Linked DNA regions of Astyanax mexicanus. The protein of the gene in region 2 interacts with the protein of the main gene of each other region in a biochemical or structural test. Links are inferred from orthologs where the notes say so. Each region holds a gene or a part of one and is shown on either strand. Other genes may lie near its edges. The genes, in order: anapc11, ube2s, anapc2 and uba1.

Region 1 (6,923 bases), on a different chromosome or scaffold from region 2:
CTTCTGGAGGTCTTGTGAGCTTAATTCAGCCAAATACTAATGAAGGGAGGTGCCTAACTGTGAACCCCTGTAAAGAGCTTGTGGTGTCGTGTATAATTAGTCCATTTGTGATAGTTTGAGTTATTGAGATCGAGATATTGTTCGAGATATTGCTGATCGAATCAAAAATGGTCAGAGCAACCTAGCTGTTAGGTGTTGGGTGCTGATGTTCTAAGTGTAAATATGTGAACAAAAAATAAATAAGTTAAATAAGTTATTTGTCAGCACATATCAGACACAATACTGTCTGATTTAAGCACAATATATAACATGGTTTTAACCTGTATGTTGGTGCCTTAACTACAAATAGTAGTGAAAAACAAAGAATTAAAGTTACCCACATGCTCAGGGTCCAATACGATAAGATCTTTATCGTCATCTTCTTCTTCTTCATCCTCACTCTGCATCATCATGCTTCTCTCGTCTCTCTCGCCACTTATGAGAGCCGTCTGGATTGGTAGAGTCATCATTATTGATTCCATTTGCATACAAGGTGAAAAGTACACTCAGAATGTACTGCAGACTGTTCATCAAATCTTAAGATAAATTAAATATCACAATGAGTTAAAGCTGAAGTCGCCCCAGAAAAAAAACAATAACTGAAATAAAAAACATTTAATTTGATCTCTTCATTTAAAAAATGATAACATGGATTCTGTTAACAATCTCTAGCATTATAAACTGTTTTTTTTTTTTCGATTGTTAGATAAATGCATCATAACAGGATATAAGCCTGAAAGAAAAAAATATTTGGCTTCATTACTGTGGAATTGGCCAATGTGAGGTGCAGAGATGACGGTGGAGGATCAGGCAGGGTACTGCTGTCCTGCGCTGGAAAGCACATCACACACACACACACACACACACACACACACACACACACACACACATACACAAACACCCTTCACGTTACTGTAAAGGAACAAGCCTCAAATCAACATGCTGATTAGTGAACATAGGCTTCTAGGCTATGTTAGTTATATAACACTCGTTCACACCAGTGTAAAATCTCAGCAGATAAACTATATTTTTGCTAAATTGGTGTTACTGTGACTTCTAAACAAACTATTGCTTTTGAAAGAGCTTTTACTAAATTTTGAGGAGTATGCTTTGGTCAATTACAGAAATTTCAGTTTCTTTTTTTTATCTTAACCCAAAAGAGCCCATGATGATGATGTATGTCACAGACCCTTTAAAAGAGATGGAAAATTTGTTACAGAACTCTGTCCTTCATAAAGTCACATACACTGAACAGCCTGAGAGCATCACAGGACAGTGTATGAATGTGTGTTTAGTGTGTTTGAGTCCTCTCAGTTAGTCCTTTAGATAAATGTGGCTCCTTTAAAGCTGTACTTTTTGCTTTTACTGGTCTGTTCCAACCAGTTTAACAATTCCAATGCCCTAAATAAATGTTTTACTCTCCATTTAACTAGTTCTGATACAATTGCTAGAGCACACTGTTAAAATACAAGTTATAAACGTATTTTAAGAGATATATTAAAAAATATAATTAGTCATATGTTACTCACTGAATTTATGTGAATTGGCTTTTATAGGTTAAAGTTTCTAATCAAAAAGTGTTCCATGCATCCATACAGTGGAAAATACATTTTCCTCCTGATGTTTGCCTGTGCTGTTCTTGACGTAGGCAGACTTATACAGACCTGAGTGAGTGTGTGTGAGGGGAGATGTCTCTGAACCGCTGGCTTCAGTGTGAGTTTGTGAAACTGGGCCTGAACCCTGCACAGAAAGCAACAACACATCAGAGCATTTAAACAACCAAACCACCATGTGCAGGCTACTGCTCCTATAATCTTACTGTAGACAATTCTAGTAAGGCTCTTATGGTCATGATTATTACCATCCTCTGCGATGTCCATTGTGGGTAATAATGACTTCTATAAAGTATTCTTGGTACACTCTGTATAGGTAATCTTACTCCCAAGATAACATCTTACACACTCCATATTCAGATTTGGGTTTTCACAACCCATCCATAGAAATAAGTACTTGAAATAGTAGCTCTTCCACGGCTGTAGACATGCCAGCAAACTCAAAAATAGAAATACTACACAGCATCAAAATTAAAATTTCTTGCGTATAAGTGTGCACACAGAAGTCTTCAGTTCAAAACAATTTAAAACAAAAACACAAGTCATGTAATAGTAGTGTATTGTTAAATGTTTAAATCCTTATTGCTAGTATAAAATAAATGTCTGCCTATTCGGGAGGATAGGAATGAAAACCTTGCTGTGACCATAAGCAATTTCTGACCTCTGCAGCCCCCTCTGCTTCCACTGGAAGACCCTCCGTCTCCCTCTCCTGCTTTCCTCCATCTTCCCCACCATTCTCCATCCTAAGAACAGATAAGAAAAAATGGCCTGTGTGGAGTTACAAAAAAAAAAACTGTCCAGAACAGGTAAATGAAAATGATCATTATAACAAACTAGAGATGTGTGAAACAAACTAGAGATGTGTGAAAAAGGACACATAAAATTTTACAATTTATTTTACAAATTAGCAATTGGTTTTAGTGGTACATTTAAACATGTAGACCTCCAGTCAAACAATTGTGATGTTTTGTAAGTTATATGTTATCTTCCCTGTTGGACCAGAACCTTCCATTTTCTCCAGCTTTATTTCTGCTTGTAGATGATTCTGCTATTAATACAAACATCCAGGAAAAAGGGTGTTAATGGCTGCTAGTAAAGCAGCCAACAAAAAAAACTTAAAATCTTAAAAGACATATACCTGAATGAATCACTGCCAGGCTGCATCGTGATGTAAGGGCAGCCACTATTCGACAGTGGTCCAACCCTATTGACTTTATTAAAAATGCCTTTATTCAATTACGAAGGTGTGTGCACTGCAAATGGTATTCAATTAAATTATTTATTTATTATCATTTATATATCTTGTGGCTAATTTATCACGCCTAGCAGAATAAAATGTGAGGCTATTTTAATAGCTTTCCAAGATTGTGGCTGCCTTCACTGAACTAATTTATACAATTCATAGCTGGTAAGTTATCTTACATACACACATACTTAGTACAATAGTCTAAAGTTTACTTCTTATTAATAAAGACTATAGGCTGAAAATATTGCAAGCCTTATTTATCACTGAGTTTTAATGAGGTTGTTAGTCTGCATTTTAGTCAGCAAAAAAAATTAATTTATAAAGCTAAATAAAAAGGCTCCGTTTTCTGTCTTTTTAATAAATAATTTTAAATTAGGATTGTTTCTGGTTGGTTCTACTGCTTGAATGTATGATAAACTATCTTCATAACCATTACTAATTTTTAATAGCCATAACAACTGTCACATGTTATTTTGTTTCCTGAAAATCTTAAAAAATGAGTTAGGGAGAATTTTAGGAAAGTGTCTCTGTGCAAAGATGTACAGTCTCGCTTATCCCATTTTGAAAATGCCATTAAAAACAACAGTGTAGTTAATCGAATAAATTCGAGTAACCTCCCACCAATATAACAAACTGCAAATCAAATAAGAAAATGGACAAGTTAAGTAGTTATAAAATAAACAGGACAGATAAAACTAAAGAGAGAAGAGAAGAGAAGAGAAGAGAAGAGAAGAGAAGAGAAGAGAAGAGAAGAGAAGAGAAGAGAAGAGAAGAGAAGAGAACCAAGTGGTTCTTTTTCTTACCTAAACTGAAACTCTTGTGGCCAGTAAACACTAAGATAAACTGAACCAGACTGCCTTCAAATGATTAATATGAATAATCATGGACATTTCCAGTTAAAATCGTTTTAATAAATATCTTAGCTTGGATAGATTAAGCTGGGTCTGCCTTCTTCCACCGCCTGCACTGTTTGACCCGTTGCTAGGAGACCGCACACTTCCGGTGTCGCCAAACTCGAGCTGCAGTGTCGTGCTTAAAATTAAGAGTCTGTTTAAAACAGTTCATACATCCAGTTTATTCTGTGGAGTTATGAAGTGACACCCACTGCTTGTTATATTTCACTGTCGTACAGATATGGGCTGGGCTGCACCAATTTTGCGTAAGTTTCTTCTTATGTTTGTGTGCAAAGTCTCTAACGTTACTAGTTATTAGTTTCAAACTATCATTTTACTGAATCTGGGTGCACCACTAATCTGTGTGGCATGTCCTAACTAGTAACAACTAACTCATGCGCAGAGTTACTGATTGACGCTTTTACATGACGAAAACAAATATATAACATGTTGGTAATCAACGTGTTGCCATGGAAACGCGGTTTAACAGCATGTGTTAGTGGATAATGTAGCTATAATGTTATGGGTAATATATTATAAGCGGTATTATTTCATACTTATATAGTGCATCTCAAAAGATTAGAATATCATTGAAAAGTTACTTTATTTCAGTAATTCTGTTCAAAATGCGAAACTCGTATATCATATAACGTTAGATGAATTATACGCAGTGATCTATTTTAAGTGTTTATTTCTTTTATTGTTGATGATTATGCCTAAAAGCCAATGAAACCCAATAATCAGTGTCTCAAACAATAGGTGCTTTTTGCAGTGTGGACAGTGTGCCAAATCCTGCTGAAATATAAAACCCGCATCTCTATAAAAGTTATCAGTAGAGAGAAACATAAGGAAAATACTGCACTGACTTTGGACTTGATATAAAACAGTGGACCAACTCCAGCAGATGTCATGGCTCTCCAAACCATCAATGATTGTGGAAACTTCACACTAGACCTCAAGCAATTTGGACTATGTTCCTCTCCATTCTTCCTCCAGACCCTGGATCCTAGATTTCCAAATGAGATGCAAAATTTACTGATGGTCAGTGATGGTTTGGAGAGCCTTCATCTGCCGGTGTTATATCAAATCCAAAGTCTACATATGTGCTACACTGGTGTAGTTACAAACATATGCCTGCTCAGATTTGTGTAAATACTTAGTATTTATACGTTCCTACGTATATACTAGTTGGTGTAGGACAACACGATTTGATTTAGTTTAGCCTTTTTTTACAGCTAGCCTATGTTTAACTTACAGCTGGTGCAGCCAGCCCCTGTGATTGGCTTAGTGCTTAAGCAGTGTTTTAAGTGTATTGGGATCTATCATTTAATTGGATAATTAACTAATTCATAATAAAAAAATTCTGCAATTCACTTTTCAAAAGTCATTCAGCTCATTGGCTGCAGTGCACCTGTAGTTGGTCTGCCAACCGCCATAATATTAGCCATAACTCCGAAAGAGCTCCCGGGCAGTAGGGGGCGAGATGGAGCTGTTAGTGTTGAACAGGAGCTTCATGGCGGCGCTGTAAATAAAATGGAAAGCGGGAGGGAAGCGGAGCTTTATCTGTATGGCTGGGTATTTTCTTTTCTTACTGTTACTTTTCTTAAAATATTAACCGTAGTTTTATGTTCTCACCACAGCATTTTTAGAATGTTTGGTCCCACTTTAAATGGTGCTGCTTCGTTAGTTAGCAAGCTAGCTACAGTATGTGTGTAGTTATAACCTGACCCCAGCTGCTGCATTTAGACATCGACAGGTTTCTGATTTGTATGTTTTGTCACTCACGTTTGATTGCAATATTCCTGAAATGTAAGTTGTTGTGTAGGTTAAACCATTTTGGTTAGCAAGTTAAGGTTTGTTCACCAGGTTTCAGGCTCCAGTGGTGATAAAACGCCTACTGAACCTACCATATATCGATTTGCTGGACAATGGGAGGTTTTTCAGATGGTGCCACAATACACTCAGGAAATGTTATGAGTTTATTTTAGTGCATAACAAACTCTTAACACTGCGTTCTGCAACCCGTGTAACATAACTCTATATAATATGTATTATATAACTAGCTAGCTTAGTTATCTAAACGGCGTCCATGCAGGTAGCTAAGTTACTTTCACACAGCTTTCACCTCTTCAGCTAGCTTTTTGTATTGACTGGACATATCCCCACAATTTCAGAAGTGAGAAATGAAGGTGAAGATAAAGCAGTGGAACGGCGTGGCATCCTGGCTGTGGGTGGCCAATGACGAGAACTGTGGCATCTGTAGAGCCCCGTTTAATGGCTGCTGTCCAGACTGTAAGTAATCTTTTTACACAACTCTAAATGTAGACACTTCAAGGTATTGAAATCCATTTCCGCCATTCGAGGGAAAAAATAAGGGTCCTCCACCAAGTCATAATTATAAGATGGTAAGGCATAATAATTATGATATACTTAGTCTGCGGTTATTATTTCATAATAATGACTTGGTATCTTATAATTATGCCTTACTATTTCAATAAAAATGCTTTGTATCTAAATTATTACTTAACATCTCATCATTATGACGAAATATATTGTAATTATGACTTAGTATCTCGTATTAATGACTTAGTATCTCCTCTCAACAATTATGGCTTAGTATCTTGTATTAATGACTTGGCATCTTATCTTAATAATTATGACATATCATCTCATAATAATGACTTAGTATTTCATCTCAATAATAATGACTTGCCATCTCAGAATTATGACTTAGTATCTCCTTATAATAATAATAATAATGGCTTAGCATCTCATAATAATTCATTAACAGCTCGTAATAATGACCTAGTATTTCATCTCAAAAATAATGACTTAGTATCTCATCATTATGACTCAGCTTTTTGTAATAATGACTTAGTATTTCTTGTAATTATAACTTAGTGGAGGACTGTTGCATAGTGGCGGAAATGGGCTTCCATATAAAGGAGAAATGTCTGTATAAAAGGTAGGAAATTATGGTATTGGTAAATGGTACAATTGTGCCAAATATTAACAAATTTAGTTTTCTATTGTATATTTGTGCATTGGTAAAACTAAGGCAAACTGTGTTTCTGGTTTCTAAGCAATGTATTGATCTGGGATGAATGGAGTGTTTCCCACACATAACCCTCT
Region 2 (6,926 bases):
TAGGACCACGTATGGATGTGACTCAAATCTGATAAAAAAATAAATAAATATGGATTTGGCACGTTCAGACAGCCATTTAAAAAGAAAAAAAGATCTAAGCCACATTGAGCAAAAAAAAATCTAATTTGAGTTACCTAAGCTTGGTACACATCGAGTGTCTGTTAGCAGCATTAGTATAGCAACAACAGATTTTTTTTTTTTTTAAAGACCCTCTTGTCCCTAGTTTCTTTTTGGGTATGTGTGAGGGCTTTTTTAAAGGAAATTATGTTAATGTTATTAGGGTATGTGAATGAGGTCTGCTCTGATTGGTTGCATTAAATTTGACCAGTTTAGTTGAGCAGTTTAGAGTAGAATAACCCATTTAGTGCTATACGGTTACAACTAGATATCTATTGTATTATTGGGACTTAATTAAAGTCTATCTAGTAGGCTACCTGCTGATTTATTTGTATGCTGGCCCAAGGTAAGCTGGCAGACACTGGCTACCCTGCTTTGAAATTGAATGAATATTAAAAATATATTAAAACACATACATTTTAAAAAATGGCGTTCTAACACTAAGGTTTATGTTGTGACGAATTCTAGCTCTGTCAGAATCAGACTTCCCCTTACATAAGGATGCCTGCCACAGCAGAACGGATGAAAAAGATTATCAGCAAACTCCTTTATTTTTGTTTATAAATAAGGATAAATCTATTGTTACATTAATTAAATAAATTCAGTCCAAGCATTTGCGCCTATACTGCTGCTTGATGCGCCTGAGCGCAAAGGGAATGAGGTTTCGGCATGACACCAGCTCTTTTTCCTCTGGTTGGTTTAAAGACTGACTCAATTTCCTGTAAAAGATCCAAAAAAGTTGATCTATCTAGATAAGTGTTTCACACAGATGCAGATGAACCAGTAGATGCAGAATGAGAGCACCTCTTTAAGTCTGACCAAACTCTGGTCCTTTGGACTGGACCGTGGTTCACAACCCCTTTTACACCTGCAGTCTGGACCAAACAAGACAGGTGTGAAACACACACAAAAAGGCAGAAGACAGCCCATTTGATGCTGCATGATAACAATTGAATTCCAAATATATATTGTATTAAGGGACTCAATAATAAATCAGGCTGCCTAGAATTAAAAGGGTGGGTCTTTATATCTTTTGGTGGTATACAGAACACTAGTAAGTAGGAATGAACAATGATATCAATAAATTGTTTGTGGACAATATATTGTCCCATAAATTATAGCAATAAACAAGTTGTCATTTTAACACAATGGCACTGACAATGATAATCTATTAGCATAACAAATACATTATACTCATTTTAAGACAACATTTTAATTAATCATAGTTTGGTAAAATTAATCCTTTATTTTTCATCTCCTGCAGTTTGCACTGTGTGTATAAAGTCAGTTATTAAAGCATTGGTCATTGCATGACTGGCTAAAAAATGTTAACTGTCAATTATCATACAAACAAACAATAATCAAGAGTATCATATATTGTTAAGGTTGTGTTCACTTATTGTTGGATAACTCAATAAAGTAATTATAGTGACAAACATAACTTCAGTTGATAGACACGCTGCTATTTTAAAATACATTAAGTTCAGCCAATCTCTGTTATTAATTCTAAAAGTTACGAATTTATACCAGTATGTGAATTCTTGCTACAAGTTCAACGTGTATATCGGCAGATATGTACGTGTAATATTGAATCAGTATCAGCTCAGAAATTCCATATTGGTGGATCCCTACTTTTCAGACTTAAGTTTTATATTATGTTTTCACACTAATTATTAATACTGGATGGAATTGTATCTCTAAACACAAAATTATCGCCTTAGTCTAACAAATAAAAATATTAATTGTATTACCCTAAACATATGTTATATTGTTATGAAATTTAAATACAAAAAATGGATATAGCTAGTGGTCTTGAATAGCTAGCTAGGCTACAAAATTAGATTACTTTTGGAATTTAATCGAAAAAACAGCTAGGTTAAAATCAGTCAATTGTATCGTCAAGCCTTGAAGGTTAGCCTAGCCACGGCTGCTAGGTTAGCTTCTTATAGGTACTGACCATTCCACCTTAAATGAGGTGCCAGAAACCAGCCAGCTAAACTAATATAGTTCAGCTAGCTAAACTGCTAAGGAATTTAAGGGGAATATAAAAAAATATTAAAAACTTATTTAGCCACGACTGCTAGGTTAGCTTCTTATTAGTACTGACGCTTCCTTAAATGAGGTGACAGGGTTCAGCTAGACACACTAGTTAATTGCTAAGACATTTAAGGTGGAACGAACAATTTAAAAGAAATCAGAAGCGCTTTTACTAGCCAACACCAACCTAGTTAACTTAGGTTGGTGTTGGCTCCACGCCGAATGTGTTAGACAAATATTTTTGATGTATTTTATCAGAAAAGGAGTATTTAAGGTGGAATAACTTACCATTTTGTCTTTAGAGATGGAACTGTAGTTAACAACGTTAGGAAACTGAGCCTTGCTATAAACTGAGCGAGCAGGCTAACGATGTAGCTAAGCTAACCTAGCTAGCTTACTAGCTTATCTCAACACTCTGACACCTACTAGAGCAAACACCTAGCTAAGGAGCTAGCTATAACTTCAAGAAAGAAACGAACGACAATTTAAAATCGAATTAAACCGAATATGAGACTGTTTTCGGTTTCAGCGCCACTAAACTCTGCGTTAGCTCAGCCGGAGCCTGGAGTCAGATCAGTCTGCTCTATTGGAAGCGATTAGCCAGAGCGCTAATGCTAACTCCGCTAGTTTCTCGTCTCTGCTGGAGTTACCGGTCCCCAAACCCGGTTAAAATAAACTAAATAAACTGAAATAAAAGAAACGCAGGAGACTGCAGCGGTGTCGTTGCCTTACTCGCATCAGAAACCGGTTCTGACTTCTTCTTGGCGAGCTAACAGTTCTCTGCTTTTGACACAGGAACAAAAATACGAACAGAGAGAGCACGGCCGCTCCGCCAATCAGCTCCGGCAATAAAACCTGCCTGCAAAAGCCACCGCAGCCGTTCAACCAATCACAGCACACGCAAGGAGTGACGTCGCCGCTCTCAGCGACCACGCAGTCCAGCTGGACCGTAGAATGTGAAAAATGCTCCTCTGCGATTGGCCAGTTTGAATAACTCAGACCCGCCCACACACAGCAGGGGCGAGGCTAAGCATGCAAATATAACTTTCTTTCAATACATAAAAAAACTCTTTAAACGTATAAAGTTTATGTGATGTTTTATATCTTTTATAGAAAAATTAGGGTTCTTTTTTGAGGTTGTTTTTGTGACAGTCTCTGTAAAATACTGATTTATTAATGCTGCTTAATGATTCATAGTAATTAATTAAATAAATGCAATGAGTTTTCTCTACCTACCTACACACCTGCATACTTACATACATATATACTTACACACATATATATATATATATATTTATTGAGTGTGGGCACACACCACTGCCCCGCATCTGTGAGCGTTCCCAGTGTGACAGGACTGAATGTGATGGGGTTAAATGTGACAGGGTTAAGGAGCTGAGTGTGACAGAGTTGAGTATAAAATAGTTGAATGTGACCAGATTGAATATTATAGAATGGAATGTGACAGGTTTGAGTGTGATGGGGTTGAATGTGACTGGGTTGAGTGTGACTGGGTTGAATGTGACAGAGTTGAGTGATGGATGTTTTTGATTTTTCGTGTTCTGGATAAAATGTTTAGAAAAATTCTGAATTATTTGGTAGAAACAGGGACTGGTACGGTGGCCCTCTTTTGTCTATTTTTTATATTGTCTAATCTGGTCTTGAACATCACAATTTGTTTTTTGTCAAAGTATCTCAGATTCCTATGCTTGTTTAATTTTTTCATCCTTTAGCAGATCTGTGTTTAGTGAGGGCTGTGGCCAGTCTATTCAGTCCTCTAGATGGCGCTCCAATATACACAGTGCTTCAGCCTGCTCTCAGAATGCTCTGTTTACCTTAAGATTAGAGGATAAAGGTTGTGTGTTCTGTGAACTACAGTCCCACCACTTACACTGTGTATCTATTCTGAGGAGAGTAAAAAGCCAGTCTGAGATTCTATCTGATTGGGAAACTGAAGGTGTTTGTGATTAATAATATAATATTGGGAAACATGTAAGTCAGCCTGTCAGGGAGAATTATTGACCAGCATCAAAAGTCATTAGATGTTCTTTACAATAGAGTATTATCATCAGTAAGGACACAGAATACCCATCTTTTCTAATTCCATCAATATGGAACAATACCAAATTCTTCAGTACTGTAGACATACATTTAAAAGCTTTAAAACTCCACTTATATGACTTTTAAGAAATGTGTTCTGGCTGTAGAACACATCAGCATCAGAGCAACAATCAATCAGTTACAGTGAGAAATGCTAGCAAATCTGTTATCTAAAAACCTTTGTCGTAGAAGAAAAATGGAAATACATGGGTAGGCTTTCTTTATTTTTAGCAGAAATACTCAGGAATATCCTGAGCTAGTATATATTAAATTTGAGTTTTGTAGTATTATAAATGTAGTAAAATGCAGTATTTTTTGTTAACTTTGTCTAGAACTTAGAAATATGTCATATTCCAGTATAAACTTATTTATTTACTTATACATTATATTTTTTTATTTTGTTTAGTTGTCTAATCTTTACATTACTGTAGCCCATATAAATGTAAACAAATAAAACGAGGAAATAAAAGAACTTTTACCATTTTTATCATTTTTTCTATAGCAATATTTAATAATAACTTTAATCATAGACAGACAGTATTAATTTTGGTTATTCAAGACTTTTTTATATTCTTCATATATACTATATACTATATAGATTTTATGTATATTTTCAAATTTCAGATTCAGATTTTTCTACGTGAATAATATTATTTCCCAGCAATATTCTTTTTTCAGCAATAATAATTTATGTTGCTTTAAGAAAATATCGTCACAGTTCAGGGCGTCAACAACAACAATAGCGCTTCTTCCGGTGTTCTGTCGATTTTATGTTCAGGTACCAAAACCTGCCCCAAATAGAAGCAGGTAGGATCTTTCTATAGGCCAAAAGCATCATATATATATATATATATATATATATATATATATATATATATATATATATATATATATATATATATATATCAATTAAACAGAAGTATAGAATATCGATAGCAGAAGATATTTAGCAAAAATAGAGACATGTTAAAATCTGATAAGATTTTTTTTACTACTAATTTTTTTTGTGTTACTGTTATAAATTGCGAGTTACTCTTTTGTAACACTCAAGCATATAATAACAATAATAATCCGCTAAAAGTGTAAAATTCACACAAGAAAAACAGAATTATCATGAAAATCACATGAAAAGGTTCGAAACGTCTGAATCTGCGCATGCGCATAACGGCAAAGTAGCACATACAGGTGGGTAGCACTATTTGACAGGACACTTACACTCGCTCGGCTCTCAGCTAAATGCTAACACTCAGTAGCATCACCTCACTGAGGGCTGTCGGTTTAGATGTAAATGAAGCGTTTTTATAAGATTATATTTTATTTATGAACTCCTGAGATATCGGCTAAACGTCGTTTTAACTCGTAAGGATTCACAGTTAAAGGTAAGGACAGTTAACGGCTAACTATCTTAGCTAAAGTTAACTAACTAGGGGCGTGTGTGTTTCACTGAGTGCTGCTGTTGATTGGGTGATATTTATTTTTGTGTTATTAAATAATAATAAACGCTAAATATTAGTAGAGAGAGTGTGTTAAAAATGAGTGTGTCTGAGTGTGAATAAGTCCTTGATTGTTTTTTCGAGAAAACGACGTAAACGTTGGCTTTTTTCCACTATAATCATGTTTGAATTAGTCAGTTCCACCTTAAATTATATTATAAGCAATGCTGCGTTTAAGGCGGAACGGAAACTTCGAATGATAAACTAAACCCATTTTAGTGTTTCTAACTTACTTTAATTGTAAACTATGACTGTAACTAATATATGTTTTTGGTAGCTAGTCGATTAATCTGCCGATTATTTAGGTTGTTGACCCAAATCCCTCCCCATCATTTAATTTAATGGAGGCTTGTCTTGTGACATTATATTTAAAGGACCATTAGCGATTTATGTATTCAGTAATATCTCATAACATGACCAGAATGTGTCCTCAGATATTGATGAAACATACTGAGTTTTGGCAATGGCAGCCAATGACAGCTTCAACCAGTATGTTCTTATTTGATTTATACAGTATTTTATGGTATTCTGTGTGGGTTTTAGTCTCTGAATTCCCCCATACCTATTTCCACACTCCGGGTTGCCAGGTATACAACACAACAGCACCCAAACAGTGTACTGCATGAAAATGATTTAGATGACTATGTTTCTGCTGAACAGGTAATCACTGAGCTTCAGTAAGGTTAACTATCCATAGCTGGGAAATTTACCACCTCCATTATCTTAGAAGTAGAGGCGGACATTTGGAACCCAAACTAGTCAGCTAAGATCCGCCGCTGTTCTTATTAGGAGAAAAAAGGCCCTTTAAATTATAAGCACTAAGAATCTTAACTGGCAGAACTAAAATTTAAATACATGTATTTTGTAATATAAATATATATTAATCGAGGTCTGCGTTTTCCTCTCTTATAATAATAGTAATAATAATAATAATAATAATGATAGTAATTAGAGCTGGGTATCGTTTTTAAAATTGTCGATACCAGTAGCTATTCCCAGACAATACTTTTTTCGATACGTTTTTTTTTCTAAATTGTAACCAAAGAAAACAATCATTATTATTACATAGCATTTTTGTGGCACTTTATCAATTATTGTTCTTACGCATATTGCTGTGTGCATTTCACTTTTAAGAAGTTTTAGAAGAGGAAAAATTTCAGCATTACATTGACAAATTAATTT
Region 3 (7,159 bases), on a different chromosome or scaffold from region 2:
GCAGCTACAGAATCAGTGCCAGCCTCGTCCACTTCACTGGCAAAGACTCTGCTCAGCCAGCCGAGCACCTGCTCCAACCACTAAAGCACAAACAGAGGACACTAATGTGCAAGAATTTATAACATTTTCAACAATAACATTTTCATGTTACTGTATTTAAAAAAGCTGTTATTTATGTCTCTGGTGTCATTTATTAGGACAGTATAATCTATTAATATAACACAGTTATTATTTAATAATAAAGAGTATAAAAAAACCCTCAAATTTCTGCAGATCTTTAAGTATAGGTTTTCATGGGATGAAACTGACAAAATGACACTGACACAATGAAGAGTAGTCTGTGTGTAGATTATATGACAGTGTATTTATTCTTCCCTCAAAATAACTCAATAACATTTCGTTTAGACATTAATGGCTGTACGTTGAGTTATTTTGAGGGAAGAATAAACTTACACTGTTATATAATCTATACACAGACAAAATGACACTGACACAATGAAGAGTAGTCTGTTTCATCCCATGAAAAGATATACTTAAATATCTGCAAAACTGTGAGGAATAACAAACATAGATTGTTCAGTCCTTAAAACAAAACAACAAATTGACCATTAAAATATATGCCAGAATCCTCATACTTCATTGAAGTCTGCCAGAAAGGAATTCTCATATTCTCCCCGGCACCGCTGCTCCATCCTCTCCTCGATCAGTCGGTGCAGAATGCTGGTCACTGCTTCCGAGCTAACCCTCCCCAAGAGCTGCAGTCTGGATCTGCCACACACCATTATAACAACAACACATAAAAAGTTACATCACAGCACCCAATGCTTGTACATCTGTATGGCAAATTCTTCTTTTCCAGCATGGAATATGTAATCATATTGATGTCTTCTCTTTTTACCATGGTGCTGTAGCAGAACTATATCCCACCCATGTAAATTACATTACACTATATTACAAAACAATGCAATCCCAATATTCCTGCACTCACAGGATGTGGCTAAGCTCCTGCAGCTGCTCCAGGGCCTCCTTGCACCAGCACAGCTGAGGTGGGGTTGCACAGCCTGGACAAACACAGGCCCCGTCAGCCTCCTCTGCTCCCTGCTCCACCTCCAGACCCTCTCCCACCTGGCTCATGTGCACAGAGAAGGTGCGACTGTAGAACTCCAGCACCCTCTTTTGGAGCACTGGCTGAGGAGAAAAGAGGAGGATAGCACGAATGACCGAGAAGGCCCTCTCTCGGAGCCCATGGGCTCCAGGGCCCACCAGACCCCCACGACCTTCATCCTGCCAAGACCCAAGCTGCTCAAGCCCACCTGGAAGTTTAGAAACAGATGAGAAAAAGGAAAGATGATGAACGGTGATGAATAATGAATAATAATAAGGTTTGTTCACCTGCAACTGAATCAGCACATTTCTGACAAAAATTGCAAGCATTCAAGCACTGCAATCTCCATTTGATTTAGAACAGTACCTACAAAAACAGAAGAAAACATAGCTTACCAAGAAATGGTTCAAGGCGCAGCAGCAGAGTCCTGAACGCATCTAGCAAACATCTTGCTCTGTCTTTCTCCTGTGAATCTCCTTTAGGCTGCTCTAAATTACTCCAGAACTCCGGAGCCACATCAGTGGTCAAACGAACCTGCAAGGTCTCCAGCAGCCAGCCCTCCACATACTGAGCCAGCCCTTGTTCACACAGCAGAGCCAGAGCATCAGAAATAGTGTCATCAGGAACTGAAGGCGGTACTGCAGGAGAAACCTACAGGATGCAGATGTGAGTTAATTTTTTTTTTTCTACTATTTTTTTAAACATTGTATATGTGTATACATTTAAGATATAACAATTAAGGGACACGTGAAATTACAAAGTAAACAAAAAAGTGTTTGTCCTCCACAATCTCCTGGTCTAAACCTGATTAACTAAGATGGCAATTTGGGATGATCTGGAGCTTTACAGTATGAAGGAAAAGCAGTAACTATTGTTCAGCCCCTCCAGAAACTCCTTCAAGACGTTGAGAAAACTATTCCAGGTGACTCTCCCTCATAAAGACCCTGAGATTAAAATACTGTACCAAGAGTGTGCAGATCTGTCATCAAAGCTAAATGTGGTACTTATAAAACATATACTGGTTTGTTTAACACTTTCAATTTAGAAAATATTTCAGAATATGTTCCTGTATAGCTTTAATATTGTCTTCAATATTACATTTATAATGTAAAAGAAAAAAAATCATAGAAAGAAAAGAAACACATCACGAAAAAATATTTTGTTAACGCAAAAGTGCCCTGAAATATCGTAATATTTTTGTCAAATAGAGCACAATTAGTTGGGATATATTATTCATTGGCTAATGTGTGTTTGTACCAAGCATCTACATTAACATATACGAATGTAAATATACATTTGCAAGCATAAAACGCTTACACCTCCAAAACTATTAGAATTGAAAGAGCAAAAACTTGACAAAACTTGACTGTTCTTGCATCACAACATATATATAACTGTAAACTGGAGATCAGTGCAGCCAGCTGACCCTGTCTTTGTGCTGTACTGCAGGATGTTTACACTATTAGCAGGCTAGCTAGCTAACCTAGACTGTATGTATCAGATTAAGAATAGCCCGAACTACATTCCTACATCATAATAATAAACGTTACTCAGCTCAGTGATAACCCTGAGGACTGTCAGTGCCTATATATCTGCACAGCAGCAGCTCACCAGAGCAGCGGTGACCGCGGCCCAGGCTGCAGGCAGACCCGGGGGAACCAGCACCGCCCCGCCGTCCTTCATTCCCCCAGCTCCGCGGGTCCGACCACCGCCTACAAACATACAGCCCGCCGTCCCCGCAGCATTTCTACCGAACAGCCCGCGCCCCGAGGTTCTGTACCGCCGTGTGCAGTGATTACAGCGGCTTAGCTTCAGCAACTCGAGCTATACGATCTCCATTAGCTCTGGTTCTCCTGCTGCTGCTGTTTATTTCCGCGCTCTTCTTCAAGCTGCTGTCCCTCAGTGATGACGTCCACGACCCGATGACGCTGAAAAGGCTGTATTTTTTTATCCACAGGAAATTACATGTCTAAATGTGCACACAAAATACATTTTATTGTTAAACACAGTGTCTTGTACATAGACCTACTTGCAAATGTAAGATATGTGACTAAAAACATTCATAAAAACTAATTGGAACACTGAAAAAATACCATTTGTTACCTGTATCCCCACTTATTATAACCTTACCATAAAATATACAGCTCTGGAAAATATTAAGCAGCTCCAACTTGTTGCAAATGTGGTAAAATGAAAAAAGCTTAGATTTTTCTTTTCACAGTTTTTTATTTTACATTTGACTGGGAAATACCTGTATGATAATGAAAGTGAAATGGCAAAAGGCCATTTTAAATTGCAAATGAAGGGTTTTAATTTTGTTTGTAATTTTTGCCATTATATTTTCACACGTTTTGAGAAACAAGTATGCAAAATGGATTTACATCCTATACAACAGTGCTGATCAATCCTTCGGTCTCTATTGAAAACAAAACTGGACAAAATAAAAACTTGATTAGGTAGCTATTGTATACAAGCTTTTACGATTTACAAATGCCAAAGCTATGAAGTAAAACCATGTTGAGTAAAAAAATCTTTATATATTTCTATTTAGCAACCTAGAAAAATGAGAATAGCTTCAGAAAGGAATATTAATCTATTATAAATACATATTTAAATAGATTTCCTGACTAGACAAACCCAGTTTCATGCAAAACTGTTAAAAAAAATAGTTAAAAAAGAAACACTAGCTTAGCCGCGCCCACATCACTGGAAAAAACAAGAGCGTTGTACTTAAATTCAAGGGATAAGATTGTGGAATCATTTGGAGAGTGACGTTAAATATGCTAGAACAATGTATGTGTTAAAAAGAATGATAAAAGTTGGTTTGTTTAAAAAAAATTAAATAGTATAATGTGTATCTATACGAACTGTTGTTTGGGAAGGATTTGATGTTTTTGTTTAGTTTTGTTTTTTTGGTAAATTACTAATGTTTGAAAATATTCTTGGAACAAATGAGGCAGATATTCTAACATTTTTTTTCTTCTTTCTGCTGCATTTGATTTTATTTGTGATTTGTATTTGTATATAGAATTAATTTTGTTTATAATGAAATTAATCAATCTTCTAAAAAAGAATAAAAGCTAATTGATGCAAATGTTATGTACTTTTTATTTTGTATTATTTTTACTGTGTAGAAATGGTTTGTGAAATTAAAGGTCAATATCAAATTTAAAACACAGGCTTCCAGTACAATGGACATAAAAAAAACTATTAGATATTTTAGTTAATTGGATTTAACTGGACGTCATATTAGAGTATTAGATTATTATTTTTTGTGCATTTTTTATTTTATATTTTATATTTATATTTGTATATTTTCATTGTAATATAACGCTGAAAGGTCTGAAGGGGTTAAAGCTGTATTTTATTCCTCTCCAGTCCAGCAGGGGCGGAGTCGCGCTGAACTGCAGTGTCTCCACCCGCCATAAGGCGCGTTATTTCAGGAGGAGAAGAAGAAGAGCTGCAGGCTGAGGTTGTTGTAGAAACAGAAGGAGGCTGGAGTCAGAGGGAGTGAATGGATTCAGCTCAAACTTTCTATTAAGAGTGAAGTTACAGCTGTGCGATAAACTTGTATATACGAGGAGTGTGAGGATTTTAGAGATATCTAACCTATCTTATTTAATCTAACTTTACTTTACTGCTGAGCTGAAACTCAGTACAGTCAGCATGACCCAACAAGGAGCCGCTCTACAGACCTACAACAACGAGCTGGTGAAGTGTGAGTAACTCTACATTAACTCTGTTATATTAATAAAGTCTATTATAGTAATGTAAAACTGTTAAATTAAAGTTCTGACTGTGTTTTACTGGTTGTTTCAGTGACTGTCGGGGTTAATGTTAATGTTGAGCTATGTGAGCTGACAGTTGGTGGACTGAGATTAGCTGAGTTAGATTAAGTAAACTAGGTTAGGTAGTTTTAAGGTAGCTGCTGTCAGACCCAGCCTTACTTTGCAGGCCTTCCATTAAAATTCATGTTATTTAGCTATATATCTTACTATATACAGTACCTTCCAGTCTAACGTTTGTTAAAACATTCCTATATTTATATATTATTTATTTGTATTATTTACTACATTGTAGCATGAGTTATCTTTTACTGAAAAAATACAACATGCTATAATGTTAACAAAATGTGAGGTTTTCATTTATAAACAATTTAAAAAGGCGAAAATTCAGAGACCACTTCAGTTTCTGAATTGGTTTCTCTGATTTTGTTATTTATAGGTTTATGTTTGTGTAAAATGAACATTGTTGTTTTATTCTATAAACTACAGACAACATTTCTCCCATACAAAAATGTCATTTAGAGAATTTATTTGCAGAAAATGAGAAATGGCTGAAATAACAAAAGGATTTAGAGCTTTCAGACCTTAAATAATGCAAAGAAAACAAGTCCATATTCATAAAGTTTAAGATACATTTTTGATGGAATAACCCTATTTTTAATCAGTTTTATGCACCTTGGCATGTTCTCTTCCACCAGTCTTGCACACTGCTTTTGGATAACTTTATGCCAGTCCTGGTTCAAAAATTCAAGCAGTACAGCTTGGTTTGATGGTTTGGGTTGGCCTATATGGTTATATTGATATAATATACACTGCATGAAATAAAATTGCCACCTGGATTTAAGTAAGTAAATGATGTGGGGTTGATGCTGCAGTAGGTCAGGTCTAGGTTAAGCAACAGTATGTGCTGAAAGAATGAGGGCAACTGAGTCCAGACCTTAACCTCATTGAGAATCTTTGGGATGTGCTGAAGAAGGCTTTGTGCAGTGGTCAGACTCTACCATCATCAATGCAAGGTCTTGGTGAAAAATTAATGCAACACTGGATTGAAATAAACATTGTGACATTACAGAAGCTTATTGAAACAATGCCACAGTGAATGTGTGCTGCAATCAAAGAAAAAAAAATTGGTGGTGGTGTTGCCTTTTTTATTTCTTTTTTTGGGCCAGGTAATGTTTACACATGCTTGTTTGGCACACCCCTATACTTAGTACGAGGATTTGCTGTACTATATCAAATAAACTTACACTGTCTGTAACTACTCAGTGTTCATAAAACACTAAAGAACAAAAATCTTATGCATTTATACTACAAACTGAATCATTTATTGCGTATACTGAGTAACAGGTCTTGGAACTAAAATTAAAAAAGGTAGGGTTCAAGAGGTCAGGACAAAGCCAACACACCCACATCCCTCCGTCATTATCACTTTTACATGATTCAGCAAGATGTCTGCTGTGATCTATAAGTAAACAAACTCCCACTGAAGTTCCATTACCTGGACTTTGCAGTAATTAACTGCGTAGATCATGTTGATGCTTTACTTGTCATAGTGTTTGTGGATACTCCTTCCAAAGAATGCATTCAGCTATTTCCAGTTGCACCCAGTGCTGACACAGACGTGCAAGTGCACACAAATATAGCTTGTCTAGTGCCTGTGGAGAAGTATTGCCTATAGAATAGGACAGATAAACATGAACATGTTGGCACCATGCATAAGGGGATGGGATGGATTAGGATGGGGAGTTGTGTGGTCACTGTTCTTGTCACTAAAGGCAATTAAATTCTCACAGCAATGCTCCAAAAGTCTTTCCTGGACAGTAGAGATAATTGTTTCAAAAATTACTTCAAAAAAGCAGAATAAACAAAGAAACAACGACTGAGCAAGATGTCTTCATCGTTTTGGATGTATAGTGGATGTACATTAGGAGTGGGCAATATGGCACTAAAATTATATCATGATATTTTATGATATTTTCGCAATAATGATACTTTTGGCAATATGACAAAACGCTGAATAAAAAAAACAAATATTTCAAGAACACACTACTGCAAAAAAAAAAAAGAAAATATTGTTTTATTATTGAAATTTTATTATTTATTATACAAGAATTTTATCAGATTTGTAACAGAAGTCAATGATCCAGAATGTCATGATATTAATAATGCACTCCAAATATCTCCATATATCCAGGATTAGAGTAAAAGAAATAAATGATACTGGACAGATATAATTTGTCTTTAGTAGATATATAATGGGAAATGAAAG
Region 4 (7,646 bases), on a different chromosome or scaffold from region 2:
ACAGTATTTAAACGAGTCATGCAATGACTAATAACTGTGACTTCATACACAGTGTGCACTGCAGTGAACAAGTGAAGAAAAGTATACATTTCCTAGTCTATGACTGATTAAAAATGTGTTGTCTTTAAAATGGTATAGCTGCTTTGTTATAGTGTTATGTTATTTTTATGCCAGTGTCTTAAAATGACAATGATATTGTTTATCGGAATCATTTCTGGGACGATATATTGTCAACAAAAATAATTTTATCAAGACAGGCCTAGTTACATATAGAACAATATAGAACCACAGAACACTCTCCACTAACATTCCTATTGAAGAATGACAGGGGTTGTAAAGACAAGAAACCTACAAGAGACACAAAGACACTAATAGGAGACAGAGCCAAGATTATTAACTACATGAAATCAGTCTATTATCTCAGAATTCTCTCAAGTAATTCCATTTGTAAGCAAATTATTTGATGTCCCAAAGAGTCCTTTCAGAATTATGTACCGACAATCACTTAGCCAACAGTCTGAAGTAGTTTCCAGCAAGCCTAAACCCAGCACTCACAGCTACCTGAACCCAGCTTGTGCTATATAAAAGAATGGCATTATAGGAAACTGAATTGGCCTAATATGACCCATGCTGATGTAAGCTTTTCCATTGTTGTAAACGTCTACCTTACTACTTAAACAATTTTGTTCCCCTTGAATAACACTGACCAAGCTTATTTTAATCTAACTCAAATGTAATGAATAGATTTCAATAATACATAAAATGATGCAGAATCCAGGAGCTCTGGACAATGAATATTTGCCAAATACTACACTATATGGACAAAATGTTGGTAATTCATTGCTTATTTAATTATATTAAAAAGGTATTTATACTGCTTTTTTGGAGAAAATGTCTCTACTGACCAGGAGTGGCTTTCTTCTAGATTTTGAAAACACTGTTCTCTGGATCTGATTGCATTTACAGATAGTAATATCAAAACCCCATTTCATCTCAAAAGTACTGATTGAGCACCATCATTCCAAAGAATACAGATCCACTGCTCCACAGCTCACTTCTGGGGGGGCCTTTTTACCCCACTAAACCAATTCTGGCCTTAAGAATGGAGATGATGGGTTCATGTTTATCTGTTTCACAGAGACTTGCAAGAATGCAAGAATGCAAGAATGCATGATGACAGGATGCAAGGATGCAACAAAGCATTGTTGGGTTCGCACTTCATGAAACAAATACAAAAAAATACATATAAAACGAATAAACGTTGGAAGGAGGGGTTGATACCTTGTGACAAAGGCCCAAGAGGGCCGTTTATTCTTGTTTGTGTGGGGAATTGAGGCCAAGACAGGGGCTTCAATTCTGGCTGTAAGCGGCTTTCTCCCCCCCCGAGTAAACGATATGTGCAACTCTTTCACACATCACACTCCACTGCTCTGCACAGGTACCCCGTTCATCTGCGCTTCAATGGGCGAATATTGATCCGCTCAGCGTAGATTATTAGTTGTTAAAGTGCCAGCGCGGCCACTTTTAAGGACGACAAAATAAACAGCGGTGAGCTAGCTAGCAAACCTAGCAGGCTTTAGAGCTAGCAGGCTTTAGAACTAGGTTACTATATGTAATTCGGCGAGTTATTTAGCTATCTGGCTAACTAGCTATGGAAGCTAGACTGCTATCTTCAAAATATATCTGACCACCAGCACTGGTTAGCTACCAGTGGCGCCAATGATAGTAATAATGTGCAGCATGGCTGATTGCTTATCTATATCAATACAGTCAACCGTGCAACTGCTGCTGACTCCCATTCTGACTCCTAAGTTTATGCAATTTCTTTAACCTACATGCTTATGATTAGTATCACCCTGTACTACTGTAGATCCCACAGACCACAAAAGAGCACTGATAGCTAGCTTTAGCTAACCAGCTAGCTATGTTAATAATCATTGTGGACTGGTAGAGAAATTGTAGCCAAGAGAGCTAACCTAGGTTGGCCAATAACTGCCAAACGATGCTAGAGCGCAACAAGGGGAAGGCAAGGAAAGCAAAGCATGTCTTTCCATGTCTTTGTAGTTTCTTGTTAGGTTAGCTAGCCTAGCTAGCTTGCAAATAGCTATTTGTAGATTCAGTATTGAAGCATTCCTCACAAAAAAGCATGTCTTGCTGAGCCAGTCTTTCAATTTCAAAAATGTATTTATTTGTTTACAACAGCTATTTAGCTAGCCAGCTAGCTAAGCTAACTAGTTAACTATGTAGGTTAGATAACTAGCTAATCACCACAAGGGATAAGACAAAAAGGACTGACAACTTTGACTGTTTAAACCACTTATGGTTAGCTAAATTATAATATAAATGCATCTAAATTCTAATTTATTTACGTTACAAATATAACGTTATATCACAAGTCATCTCATATCAAGCTAGAATTTTCCACCATCATGTGGTTACGTTTAAAACCATGCAAATAAGGTTAGCTAGCTAACTAACTTAACTGTTACTACAATTTTAATTTTGCTAGCTAGCTTATACAGACAAGTCTTTGAGGCACATTCTTAGCCTAACTAGCTAGCTACTAGTTAAGTTAGTTAGCTACCGATGTGGTTAGCTAGTTAACCTAGTTAAATTTCTAGCTAATCTAGCTAGCTTAGCTAACCTAGCTAGCTTGCTAAGCAAGATGCCCAAATCTATTATTGTGTACGCGTTTGCTATTTAGCTTGCTAGCTAACCTAGCTGGTTAGCATTAGCCAGGCACATAAGTATGCAGAACTCACCACATCCGATATTACCGGGGCCTTTCCACCGTACTGAACACAGAAACGCTTCTCAGGCAACAAAAAAACGGTAAAACCCACTAGTCTAACCGTTAATATCACACTGTATCGAAGTGGCTCGAGCTCCTCGACTTTCCAAGCTGAGAAGAAGCTGGACTGACTCCTGACCACTGACCACCAACCGCACCGTTACCGCTACCGTTACCAGCTCTGAGCGCGAGAAGTGCTCACTTCTATTCTTCAGTTGTTCACGAGCGGCGGAGCAGCAACATGTGCAGAGTTTGAGTCAGGAACTGCAGACTGCACGAGGTGAACACACGCTGCACGAGCCCACATCTCACCCCTTAATTCACAACACTCTGACCTTATTTACTCAAACAGCTTCAGTCAATCAACATTAACACAGCACTGCACATGATTCATCTTTAATACAGCACGGGAAAGGTCTCAAATATTTCTGCACGCACTGGAAACTACTGGAAACACCCCCGCGTGTCCTGAAATAAGCTCGCCCGTAGTTTGCATTTGGCGCTGAGCATGGCGGGAAACGCAGTACTGATACGAATGATGCACTATTTCACTATTTCTGAGTTTAGTCTGTTGTCTAGAGGTAATGGTGTTAAAAGCGTTAACGGTCAGTGTAACCTATAGCAGTTTAGTTTTCTGACTGTATCAAGCTAAATTCGAAAATAGAAAATTGATTATATAACTTTTTTCCTATTCTGTAAAGTCAAGAAAAAAATGGATTTTCATACATTTTTTTTCTTCTAGTTTTTCATTTCAGCCTTTCGCTAACAGAATTTTTTTAAAAATATAAGAGTATCTCGATTTTCTGATTTGTCTATTTTTGTACCTTGTAACACAAATCTGATGGTATAATCTAACTTGCAAGATGCAAAAATGAAAAAAAAAAACAGATTTTTTCTTTTCTGAAATTCCGATTGTGAGGGGCAGAGACGAAAAAAAATTGGAAAAATGGATACATTTTTTGTACACTGCACTACTTTAAAAAAAAAAAACAAATAATGAGTTTTTACATTCAATTTTCTATTTTTGCATTTAGCCTTAAACACTCAGAAAACAAAACATTACACTGACCTTTAACATTCATTAGTAAACATTTTTTGACTATTTGAGCTTAAATGCAAAACTAGAATATTGTATGTAAAAACCCATTATTTGTACATCTAGTGTAGTGCAGAAAAAAATTGTTTTCCATTTTTTATTTTTTTATTTTTTCACATCTCTCTTCTCATCTCAGGGAAAATGGAAAAAAGTAACTTTATGTAACAAAACTAGTTTGGGTTATACCATCATATTTGTGAGAAGCTTATTCTGACTATGAAATGCGGATCTTTTGTTACACTAACTTTTTATGTTTTTAAATTCAGCATTAATGATAAAAAAAAACTGCTAAACATTACATTTACAGTTAGTGCTCTTAATGTTGAGTTCTCAGGCTTATCTCACAAGCTTGTATAAAAAGGCCCTGCGTGTTCTTTGCTTTTGTGTTTTTCAAACAAACTAAAAAGAGATTTAAAAAAAAAAAACATTGTTTAAAAAAGTAGGCAATGGAAATAAAGTGAGCTTTGGAAATTAATTTAAAAAATGTCAATTTACAAAGCTTTGTCTGTAGCAGTTTTAGAACATATTGTGTTACTGCACCACAGCATTTACACATAATTATTTTGTATATAAATTTTACAAATAATGCACTACATGTAACTAAAACATGTGTAACATAGAATATATGTAATGTATAAATAGTTTTATTAGATTTGTTTTGTGTGAAATTAGACAACTTCCAGTGATACTATTGTACATGCACACATTAGCAATGATCATGCTGAAACTAAACATATTGTGCAGCCCCAGTGCACAATTTATCATAATGCACAGATTGTTGGTGTGTGTGTGTGTGTGTTCTTTATTGTGACTCTTATATAAGTAGTGACCCAGTTATACACCCATAAACTGAGAGGCCAGTTTGGCAACTCCTAGTTTTAGACATTACATGTGCAGCACAAATTCTATAATTGAATTAAATAGTCTTTATTAAGACAGTATTAAACAATTCTAAATAGTGTTTTAGAAAGCTAAACCATGCATGTTATCAGTATTGCCAAACTTGACCAAAAACAGTAAAAATCAGCCTTAAGGCCTATTTGTGTTTACGAATACACATTATTATACTAAGCATACTATACTGATACTGCATAATTATTAGTAGCCAAATACTCCAAGAAATCAAGTCTCAAGTCAAGTAACAAGGAACAGCACACAAAACAATGACCATATCATAAAGTCTACCTTTTTATTGAATTCTTGGCAGAAAGAGTGCAAAAGTAGCTTGGAAGAGTATTTATTCACACCACCAAGACAAAAGAGTCGTAAAGAGGACGTTAGAGGTACAGAACACACAAGCGAGGCTGAAACACTTAGAAATTCTGTTTTGGGTAGAGTATAATACATATCTATACATTTCATACAATTAAAATATTATAATAACTGATATTTATAATAAGAAAATAAAGCTGGAGAAATAGAACATTGATCAAACGTGAAGGATGTACCAAGACCACAGGAAACAAAGATAAAGGTTTGTGTTGGTTAGCCTCCTGAAATTAGCCTGATTCTACTGATTAGGACGCACAGAATATAGCTTTTAAAAACAGTATTTCGTGATACATAACAGAGAGAGAAGAAAGTAGAAAGACATGCATAAATTATGTGCTGTACAATATTAAGAATAAACCGGGTATTTCATTGGATATTGCAAATAGGCCATGAATTCTTGAGAATGGACTTAGAAAAGAGCCTTTTTTTCATACAGTTGTGTGTGGTGCCCTCGTGTGGTTCATTTTATTAGGAGTTTCTTAAAGCAGTGTTTCTCAACCCTGTTTCTCAGTTGTTTTCCTGCTCCAGCGAATAAGCTTATTGACCCTTTCAGGCACACAGAGAATTTATTTTAAAATGTTAAGAGTCACTGATATGGACAAAATACAAGTTTTTGAATATGTAAAGTTTTTCTCTTTAAATATAATTAAACCAATTTAAATGCAATTTAAACAAAATTACAAAGAGACAGAAATGAGAAAACTAATAGGAGGTTTAATACAGTGATTATAATGTGGCGTCTCCAAATGTTAACCCCCTATCATTTGTTATTTTGCAGGGCTGTGGCCTTTGAGGACCACGGTTGAGAAATACTGTTTTACAGAACGAATGGCAGCTGTGATCACTGTTGCTCTGCAGCTACCCCAAAGTAACTTCAAAAATAAAACCTCAAATTGGATAAAGTACATTAAAAAATATAAATACATGAAGAAGAATATATAATCATGTTTTACACATTTCGTTTAGGTTAAAGGTTATGTCAGACTGTACAAGACCATAAGGGTGTTGCATTAATCAGCTTTGTTGTGACTGTAAGATTATGAAATGATCAGCCATGAGATGATCAGTCTTCGCTACCAGAATAGAAGTATTTACAGAAGTATTTACAGCAGTTTCAGAGTCGTTTGTTATGTGGTGTCGTAGGTCTGAACATGCACACAAAGAGACGTTAGACTGTAATTTTGTGTTAGTAACAGTCCCCAAAGCCTCAAACGTGTAATTGTCCCTTTTCTGCTCGGAGCAACCTTCCCTACAAACCCAGCTGCACATGACTCAATAAAATGCTAACAGAGCTAATCTATTATTTGAACATGAGCCTGCCCCCTCCCACAATAAATAAATAGATAAATAAATAAATAAATAAAACTTTTTACAGCCTCAAAATAATAGCTGCTACTTTGAGATCCATGACTTACATTTAAAGGAATGCTCCAGTGTTTTTAATCTAACGTCTATCTGCCATACTGTTGATTATCATGAACAATCATTTTAACATGTTTGCTTGTATTCAGAAACAAAAACACTTAAAATAATTAGACTCAATACACTCACTAAAGAAGCCAATAAAAAGGTATTTAAATATCTGGTTGTTGGTTTCTATGATACACTACTGTTCAAAAATTGGAATCACAATAATTTGTGCCAGTACAACTGTACACAAATTCTTCCTTATTCATAATGCATCTCATCCATATTAACCACTTTAAAGTAGCCGTATTCTAATTGTGTTTTTTTTTTAAATAATGTCTTTAAACCCGTGTTCACACAGCTTTTTTTTGTTTGTTTTTTCAAAATATAATAAAATAAATGCAATATAAAATATAAAAACTATTAAAACGTATGGACAAATAGCTGTTTATTAAACATGTTTGTAGTGCTCAATAATGTACAAGATATGTACATTTTTAATGCACTTTCGCAGATCTCCACCTGCTCCACAATATAGGTGACTCTCGTCTAATTGCGCCATAACCAGCTGATTGGCATTCTTTTTATTGGAAAGATTTTGTAAAAAAGCTCCATGTTGAGCGGTAATATTTTAACCAGTGTTCGGTCTCCTCGTTTATCTTTTCTTTGACAGTACTTTTAAAATGTTAAAATACTCACATATTCCTCCGGCCTTTAAAATGATTTTTGATCAAATTATGTAACCTGGCATAAAATTAAGGGTACAGTTAGATGCAACAGTGGAGTGAATTGTATTTAAAAGATACATTATTTTCTGTATTTTAATATCTGTATTTCACAAATGTTTCATTTCTGCATGTACAGATTTGAGAAAAATCCTGGATATTGGTATTGGGCCGCAATTTTTGCTTCCATACATTCAAAAAAAGGTTAGATTTATGATTCCAATGGTTTGAACAGTGGTGCAAGTGTGTTTTAACTCAACATGTTTCTGTCTGGATATACTCTCTGGATATAAATTGCAATTTTTGATAATAAACAGTAGGTCACTTATAAAAACTACTGGAGGATTCGTCTCCG

What was found.
Region 1: the proteins of ube2s (region 2) and anapc11 form a complex in vitro, tested with the Homo sapiens proteins (31 studies listed by BioGRID). The link is inferred for Astyanax mexicanus from reciprocal best matches to the Homo sapiens genes UBE2S and ANAPC11.
Region 3: the proteins of ube2s (region 2) and anapc2 form a complex in vitro, tested with the Homo sapiens proteins (3 studies listed by BioGRID and IntAct). The link is inferred for Astyanax mexicanus from reciprocal best matches to the Homo sapiens genes UBE2S and ANAPC2.
Region 4: of the proteins of ube2s (region 2) and uba1, one has a biochemical effect on the other in vitro, tested with the Homo sapiens proteins (8 studies listed by BioGRID, with this or other methods). The link is inferred for Astyanax mexicanus from reciprocal best matches to the Homo sapiens genes UBE2S and UBA1.

The regions. Positions count from the first base shown.
Region 1 is NC_064412.1:28,030,827-28,037,749, forward strand, and holds the start of anapc11 (anaphase-promoting complex subunit 11), read left to right. Parts: upstream 1-3,907; 5' UTR 3,908-4,057; intron 4,058-5,247; exon of another isoform or gene 5,248-5,366; intron 5,367-5,965; 5' UTR 5,966-5,974; coding exon 5,975-6,083; intron 6,084-6,923. Other genes in the region: ccdc40 (coiled-coil domain-containing protein 40), read right to left, coding at 381-488, 803-870, 1,704-1,779, 2,314-2,394. UniProt on the Homo sapiens protein: Together with the cullin protein ANAPC2, constitutes the catalytic component of the anaphase promoting complex/cyclosome (APC/C), a cell cycle-regulated E3 ubiquitin ligase that controls progression through mitosis and the G1 phase of the cell cycle.
Region 2 is NC_064413.1:7,913,980-7,920,905, forward strand, and holds the start of ube2s (ubiquitin-conjugating enzyme E2 S), read right to left. Parts: upstream 3,002-6,926; 5' UTR 2,446-3,001; coding exon 2,443-2,445; intron 1-2,442. UniProt on the Homo sapiens protein: Accepts ubiquitin from the E1 complex and catalyzes its covalent attachment to other proteins. Catalyzes 'Lys-11'-linked polyubiquitination.
Region 3 is NC_064408.1:19,792,331-19,799,489, forward strand, and holds the start of anapc2 (anaphase-promoting complex subunit 2), read right to left. Parts: upstream 3,014-7,159; 5' UTR 2,828-3,013; coding exon 2,717-2,827; intron 1,757-2,716; coding exon 1,501-1,756; intron 1,314-1,500; coding exon 989-1,313; intron 769-988; coding exon 636-768; intron 81-635; coding exon 1-80. Other genes in the region: ssna1 (Sjoegren syndrome nuclear autoantigen 1), read left to right, coding at 4,772-4,823. UniProt on the Homo sapiens protein: Together with the RING-H2 protein ANAPC11, constitutes the catalytic component of the anaphase promoting complex/cyclosome (APC/C), a cell cycle-regulated E3 ubiquitin ligase that controls progression through mitosis and the G1 phase of the cell cycle.
Region 4 is NC_064420.1:35,307,160-35,314,805, reverse strand, and holds the start of uba1 (ubiquitin-like modifier-activating enzyme 1), read right to left. Parts: upstream 3,005-7,646; 5' UTR 2,763-3,004; intron 1-2,762. UniProt on the Homo sapiens protein: Catalyzes the first step in ubiquitin conjugation to mark cellular proteins for degradation through the ubiquitin-proteasome system.